Oryctolagus cuniculus: one gene and its partner. The protein of the gene in region 1 purifies or fractionates together with the protein of each later gene. This does not show direct contact. Links are inferred from orthologs where the notes say so. Each region holds a gene or a part of one and is shown in the gene's direction. Other genes may lie near its edges.

Region 1 (3,561 bases):
TGGTTTCTCTTGCGCCAGATGTTGACGATCACCCTGGATGAGAGTGACTGCTTTGCTGCCTGGGTTTCTGCAAAAGATGCTGGCTTCAGCAGCCCTGACGGGTCAGACCCAAAACGTGAGTCTGAGCGTCCTTCCCGCTCCTCCCCTTCTGAGAGGGAAGCTCGGTCTGTGTTGTTTTTAGTTGTTTAGTTTTTAGTCGTGAGAATCCCTTCTCTTCCACCTGTGCGATCCCTGGTCACATTCCTCTAAGAATGTAGCATGTAGACATACCTGATGTGTACAAATACAGTCTTAGTGGCTTTCTGTGGAAATACCTCTTTAAAGATGATGTGATTCTTGGTTTTTGTTTTGCTTTTTTTTAAATATGTATTTATTTGGAAGACAGAGTTATATATAGAGAGAGATCTTTTATCTGCTGATTTACTCCCCAAATGGCCTCCAGGGCTAGGCCAGGTGGAAGCCAGGAGCCAGGAGCTTCATCCAGGTCTCCCATGTGGGTGCAGGGACCCAGGGACGTGGGCCATCTCCTGCTGTTTTCCCAGGCATATTAGCAGGGAACTGGGCTGGGCGCAGAGCAGCCAGGACTCAGCTGGCGCCTGTATGGGATACCAGCATGGCAGGCGGTGGCTTAGCCCGTTATGCCACAATGCCGGCACCTTTTGGTTTGAAGGAATGGTGGGACTCACTTTGTGGGTTAAACCAAGCTTACAGTGCAGGTGTCCCATAGCGGAGTGGGTTAAGGATTTAACACCAGAATACTTTAGTTTTATTTATAATTTTTATTTAAAACTATGTTTTCCATTTTTTTCCTAATCAACTTCTTTCGCAGTGAACTTAGGAGGCCTTTTACTCCAAGCACTCCTAGAATATTGGCCTAGAACTCATGTGAATCCAATGGATGAAGAAGAAAATGAAGTCAACCACGGTCAGTGTTTTTCTGTTCACATAATTAATTAATTAAAAATTAGAACTAAAATATACTTAAATTGTTCGCTAACGTGTGACATAATATGTATGTATGACATGTCCATTTCATCGTCCTCCCGTCTACATCTGCAAGTAAGAGCATCCATAGCATCTCACCTGATTCTGAGACTGCAAGAGAGCAGACAAAATAAACCCCACACACGCGCACGCGCACGCGCACAGCCTTTGTCTTAAAACTGGGCACCTCAGCAGGCCTGCTCTAGAAGTATCCCTTAGAGTGTCTGTGGCTGTCTGGGTGTGCCCCACAGCTAGGTAGTCAGGTGCACCAGAAAGCCAGGATTGCTGTGGCGTGGCCATACTGCAGTCGGTCTGAAATAGTGGCCTTACCTAGTCCGGTGATCTCCCTGCTTCCAGTGTCAGGTATTTCCAAGAGATCGAATCCCATCTCACAAGTGTCGGGTCAATGAGTGAAAGTATCAGAGCCGAGTGTCACTGAGGACACTGGGAAGGTGCGTGTATGCCCCAGGCAGCGCAGTCACGTTCTCTGGGCCCCAGAGGACAGGATTGGAGTGTGTGTGTCTGAAGGAGGGGGAGGAAGGGATTCAGAGCTCCACATGTCCCTGGTCACCTAAAGCCAGTGGAGTCGCTGCATCCCACCTCGGGGCCTCCCCTGCTGGTGGTGCCCTGCTGACCACCAGGAGTGAGCTGCCGTGGCGAGTAGCTCCTGGCAGGGGCGTGGTTCTGGCTGACAGAGTCGTCCCTAGTGGTTGTGGACTGGACTCTCTCCTGATGACTTCCTGAAAACAAGTCCCCTGATGTCCCTGGCCGAGATGGGGCACTGAGCTTTTTCCTGCTGGTTTTCCTTTTGTATCGCCTGGCTCACTTCCCTCCCTGAGAGAATTGTACAGAGGACTGTGACCCAGAGAAACGGATGGAAGGGCCTCCACACAGGGTCAAGAGAAGCAGGTTCTGGTGTGGGCTGTGCTGCTTATCGGTTGTGTAGCTGGAGGCAGTTCATTTCCGGTAAGGCAGGATGCCGTCAGAGGCCCAAAATCAATAATCAGGGCTTGGTAATCAAAAAACAGTGGTACAGTGATGCCCCTTGGATCCAGGCTGTGAGTGGAGAGAGTGAGGAGGAAGTCACGAGACCCTGCATCCCTGTCCAGAGCCCAAGTCAGTGCATGCGCCACCCGCCTGGTGATCTGCACCTGCGCCCTGCTCAGTGGGTGCTCCGGAGGTGGCTTGTGCATGATGGGCAGCTGGTGTAGTCAGAGCCCTTAGCAAGTTGCAGGCGAGATACTGACGACCACTGGGCGTGGACCCTGTTCTTCAGGGGCTGCTGTTCTGGTAGGGCAGAAAGCACCTGGAGATGAGAGGGAAGTGTTGGCTGCTGTGTGAGAAGGTCCAGAGGAGCTGTTGGATTTCGGGATTGAAATTGCTTCCGGCCGGCGCCGCGGCTCACTAGGCTAATCCTCCGCCTGTGGCGCCGGCACACCGGGTTCTAGTCCCAGTCAGGGCTCCGGATTCTGTCCCGGTTGCCCCTCTTCCAGGCCAGCTCTCTGCTGTGGCCCGGGAGTGCAGTGGAGGATGGCCCAAGTGCTTGGGCCCTGCACCCCATGGGAGACCAGGATAAGTACCTGGCTCCTGCCATCAGATCAGTGCGGTGCGCCGGCCGCAGCGCGCCAGCCGCGGTGGCCATTGGAGGGTGAACCAACGGCAAAGGAAGACCTTTCTCTCTGTCTCTCTCTCACTGTCCACTCTGCCTGTCAAAAAAAAAAAAAAAAAAAGAAATTGCTTCCGCCTTGGTTAGGGAGGACTGCGTGAATGGGTTGAGACTGGAGTCTTGGGTAAGTGCACTTGGGTGAAAAGATGACAAAGCAGAGTAGAAATGAAATCAGAGAACAATAAAAGTGACAGGGCCTCTTTGAGAATTTTGTTTTTCACTAAGACCTGTGTTACGAGTTGGAGATGCTATAAAAGTTTTTCTGTCCCTCTCAAGAAAGTTTTCTGAGCTGGGTATATGCTACAAAAAAACACTAGATCATCGTGTATGAATAGGCTGTGTTGTGGCTGCAGGAGCTGGTGACGTTTTTGATTCTGAAACGGAAGTCCCTTCTTTTATAAAATCCACCAGTAGACAGTCATTTGTCTCTGGGACACCTCCAAGTTGCCCATTTTTCTCATTTTCAAGAATTTTACTCTTATTTTTTTTTTCTTTCCACATTCCTTTCTAACCCTGATGGCCTTCCAGCACCTCGCAGGGTGTGATGTTCAGAGCCTGTGTCTGTAGCGCTAACTCTGGTACTGACTGCACCTGCCTCTCTTCCTAGTCAACGGGGAGCAGGAGAACCGAGTGCAGAAGGGCAATGGCTACTTCCAGGTGCCCCCCCACACGCCCGTCATCTTTGGCGAAGCCGGAGGCCGCACGCTTTTCAGGTATGGGGCAGAGGCCGGTGGCCCTGCCGGAGAAAGCACCCCGGTTGCCATGGAGGACTGCCCCAGAAGGGCGTTGGAGGTGGACTGGGATGCGCTCCCAGGCCTGGTGGGGCCCTGGGAGTTTCCAGTGCGGGTCAGAGGTCAGTGGCTGAAGCTGGTGGAGCACTCTCCGCAGAGGAGCAGCCCCCGCGTTCTGTG
Region 2 (4,195 bases), on another chromosome or scaffold:
GAGCTATGTGCCATCAGAAGTTCTGAGCTCAGCCAGTGAGGGGAGAATATGATACAAAAAGATAACATCCCACTGACTTCATGTGTAGCATCAGCACCACCACCTGGTCTGGATTAATTAAGCAGCCAAACAGAACTCCCTGTGGCCAGTGGAAACACAACCCCACCTCTCCATATTTTAGATTCCCTCCACTTAAAACCCCGCCCTACCTCCTCCCAACACTCCTTGACCTGGCATCCAAGGCCCCCCGCAGGATCTAACCCCTACCGACAACTCCAGCTTCGTATGAACCAGGGTGCACACGGACCCCAGGCAAATGTTTACTGACAAAGGGCAGTGTCGCGATCGGAGAACAGGTCCCTGACTGTCATTCAAGGAGTTCAAATTCTGACTCCACCGTTCGGTCGCCGTCTCAACAACTATCAGTTGGAGATAATGTCATGTACCTCGCAGATCTGTTACACGAGTCAAACAACGAACACAAAGCATCCGACCAACGTAAGATCAATACGCGGAAGGCAGTAACAATAAAATACACTAGGAACACATCAGCAAAAAATCCGCAGGTTACTAATTGAATACTCACAAGAAAATCAGAGCAGCAAAAGAACACTGCTGCTGGGCATTGAAATTTGCAGAAATAAGGGCTTTTGGTCTGACTAGTTCAGAAGCATTGCTTTCGGTACCAATCATTAGCTCCGGCTTCAGCCGATTCAACGTTTAGACACCTGTTCCAAAACGCACATTTTAGTTACGTCTGTCTACCTTGAAGCCCTTACCTCACTTTTTAGCAGCCGTGATATCATAGAAGATACAAAATTGGAATAGAAGGCGGGCCAGACTCAGCTCACATAAGCCCAAGAGCGGAGTCTGCGGCTCGGGTCGGTCAAGGAACGAGATGGCAGCCTGCCCGGCCCAGGGGCTCCAGCCAACGGAGGGAACAGAGTTTCAGTCGGAAAGGTATTCCTAGCTTTTGGCTGAGGGCTCACCTCACCTAATTCCGAAGCGGCTCGCTCACTCCGAGCTGTCAGAGAGCCTGGGCACCAGAAACGTCAGCTGACTTACTCTTGTTTTTATAGCCAGCAGATCCGCCACGGCAGATTCACTCACGTCTGTTCCATTTCTCTGGCACTTTGCAGAAGAATCCTCAGTCCAAGTCCCCTTTTGTTCCAGTATTCTCAGGTTTAATCATTTGAAAGGTGCAATAATGTGTATTTCTACCGTTACTGTGCATATCAGAAAGAGCGCAGGAGCCCCTCAGCGTGACGAAAGTGCTGAGGGAATACACAAACTCGGTTCCGGCTAGCCGGATGCTAGGGCGATGCCCGGGGAAGGCCGTGAGGTCACGCGCTCTTCTTAGGGCGCATGCGCCGCCGCGGGGTGGCTGGTGGTGATTGGAAGGCTGCTGGCAGCGGGGCGGAGTGCGGGATGTCTGATTTTGGGCGGGAATTGAAACCGTCGCGGCGGACGAGAAGAACCTGAGAGCCGCAGGATCTCCAGCGTTGAGAGCGACCATGGTGCGGCCTGTGAGGTGGGTGGTTTCTGACGCCCAGCCGGGGTGGGGAGAACGGTGTAGACCGCGTCGGCACCGGATGGAGGGAAAGGGCCGGGTGAGAGGGTGGAATGGGCGGTTGTTGGACCTCGCTAGTCCCCGGGAGGAGCTCCGGTTGCCCGGAGGGAGGCGTCCCCGCCGTTTGCCTCCCTTCGCAGCTGTTGCTGTTCCTTTTGCTCACCGCACCCGAACGAGGCCGTCTGCTAGCGTGTGAACAGCGCTTCCCATTTCCCCGCACGCCCGCTTGTGTGTTGTTTTCATTTGCTCCTCTCTGCGATTCTCATACAGGAGGCGTAGATCTTCCTCTCTTACCGATTGCAAACTAGCTGGGCCAATTTACCTGGGTCACACAGCTTGCAGGTGGCGCAGTGCGCAACCCTGAATCATCGGACCCCAGACCGTTGTACTGTGCTTTCCATTATATTCTTGAAAGTCTTCCTCCGCTTCGATGCACGCCAGTGCTTTTGGAAGCCCCAGTCAGCCATTCATGCAAAAGCGTTATTGAAGAGACTTGCTTTTTCTATACCATACCGGGTGCTGGAGGGGAGGTTAGGGCGCCGAAAATAAACATGGCCATGTGATGGAGTGGGAAAGAGGGAAGTAGGATGGCGAGGTCGTGCTTTCCCAGGAAGAAGACGTGTGATAGACACGAGCCAAGAGAAGGAGCTAGTCTCCTAAGAGTAGGGGGCACTCCAGGTAGAGCGACCCAGTGAGGTCACTGGGCGGTGGTTTGGCCTGGGGTGTTATTAGTCGACACAGAATGGAAGATGAAGCTGGGATATAGTCTGCTGGTGGAACTTGCTAATGAAGTGCATGAGCATGATCCCTGTGATGAAGTGGTAAAAAAGAAGTCAAGGATGACTCCCTGATATTTCTGAGCCACTGAATGGATGTCTTTTGTATTGAGTGATAGGGGAAACACCAGAAAAATGACATGTGGGGAATTAGAGACATGCTCAACTTGAAGTGGGTTTCAAGCATCCACGTAGCAAAGAGATAGTCTCTTTGTTGGGAAGAAAGATTGTTAAAGTATGTTCTGCCAGCCGTTGTCTCGACTGTTGAGGAACAGGTTTTTTTTTTTTTTTTCCTTTGTGCAAATTGTTGAACTCTTTACTTAGTATAGAATTGGTCTTCTGTGTATAAAAGTAATTGAAAATGGATCTTAGTGGAGAATGGGACTGGGAATGGGAGATGGAGGAGGAGGAGTGGTGGGAGGGCAGGTATGGTGGGAAGAATCACTATATTCCTCAAGTTGTACTTAGGAAATGCATGAAGTGTGTAGTCCTTAAATAAAAGGATTCTTTGGAAAAAAAATAAAAAAGCAGAAAACCCACAATTTACCAAATAATCCTTTAAACTTCAAGGCATTTGTGTGTCAATATCATGAAAGCTTAGATTCGCTTTCATAAAAAAAGGAAAAAATATCTGCTACCTCATGGGGTCCCTGAAACTGTCTCCAGTCTTCAAAGTGAAAGCTATTTTCCTAACAGTCCTAAGACTTTATTTGCCCTTTTCACTGTTCTGTCATTTGCACGGCAGAGATTAGAAAGCTTGCGGGCACCTCAGCCCGCGTGGAGACAGTGGCGTCAGGCTGCTCCCAGTGGTCGCGTTCTTTACTGCGAACCATTCAGAGTGGGGACAAAATCTCAGCTTCATTTAAGAATATTCTTGATAAAGCAGTAAGAGTTACTGTATTCATTGTACCTCAGCCCTTGAGTGTACTCTCTTTTTCAAATAGGCTTTCAATTTCCTTTTACTATTACTGAATCTTGGGATTTTTACGGATGGAGGTCCTATGTTTTATTCAGCTCTGAAATTCTTTAAAACTGAAGAGTAGGAGAGTAACATGAGTACACTTTTTGAAGATTGGGTATGAGGAAGTGGGCATTACACCTACATTCTACATGCTGAAATGTGGGTGCTTATCTCAAGGAAAAGCATTTGTGAATTCGAATTGTCAGTGGAATTTGTTTCTTTTTCATGGGACGTCATTTTTGCTTGAAAGAACAGCCAACTGACCAACTAGCAGTTCCACTGGGATGTTTGACAGAAAGAAGATAGAAGCCAAGACTAGAAGACCATTTGTATCATTCAGTGCTTAGAGGCACAAAGAAGGAAATGCTATTTTTTTCCTTTTGATTTTCTTCTAATGTCCTCATGTAGCTTAAAGATTCATTTCAGGTGGCAGGAACAAGGTCACTCACCATTGTTAAAGAGCCCATTGCATAAAAAACATTATTTCGTATTGTGGAGAGATCAAAAAGGATGGATTGTAGTATCAAGAAGTTTCTAACCAGGGCTGACTTGGCATTAACATAACAAGTTAAGCTCCACCTGCAATGCCAGCAAACCATGTGGGCACGGTTTGAGTCCTGGCTGCTCTGCTTTTTTTTTTTTTTTTTTTTTTTTTGACAGGCAGAGTGGACAGTGAGAGAGAGAGACAGAGAGAAAGGTCTTCCTTTGCCGTTGGTTCACCCTCCAATGGCCGCCACGGCCGGCACGCTGCGACCGGCGCACCGCGCTGATCCAATGGCAGGAGCCAGGAGCCAGGTGCTTTTCCTGGTCTCCCATGGGGTGCAGGGCCCAAGCACCTGGGCCATCCTCCACTGCACTCCCTGGCCACAGCAGAGGGCTGGCCTGGAA

Evidence for each region. Proteins that work in one complex are often made in the same cells at the same time.
Region 2: the proteins of WDR48 (region 1) and RAD51AP1 purify together in Homo sapiens (affinity purification with mass spectrometry; 5 studies listed by BioGRID and IntAct, counting the BioPlex papers as one, with this or other methods). This does not show direct contact. The link is inferred for Oryctolagus cuniculus from reciprocal best matches to the Homo sapiens genes WDR48 and RAD51AP1.

Annotation. Positions count from the first base shown.
Region 1 is NC_091441.1:108,255,941-108,259,501, reverse strand, and holds part of WDR48 (WD repeat-containing protein 48), read left to right. Parts: intron 1-18; coding exon 19-115; intron 116-829; coding exon 830-925; intron 926-3,257; coding exon 3,258-3,363; intron 3,364-3,561. UniProt on the Homo sapiens protein: Regulator of deubiquitinating complexes, which acts as a strong activator of USP1, USP12 and USP46. Enhances the USP1-mediated deubiquitination of FANCD2; USP1 being almost inactive by itself.
Region 2 is NC_091440.1:104,909,971-104,914,165, reverse strand, and holds the start of RAD51AP1 (RAD51-associated protein 1), read left to right. Parts: upstream 1-1,354; 5' UTR 1,355-1,514; coding exon 1,515-1,531; intron 1,532-4,195. UniProt on the Homo sapiens protein: Structure-specific DNA-binding protein involved in DNA repair by promoting RAD51-mediated homologous recombination.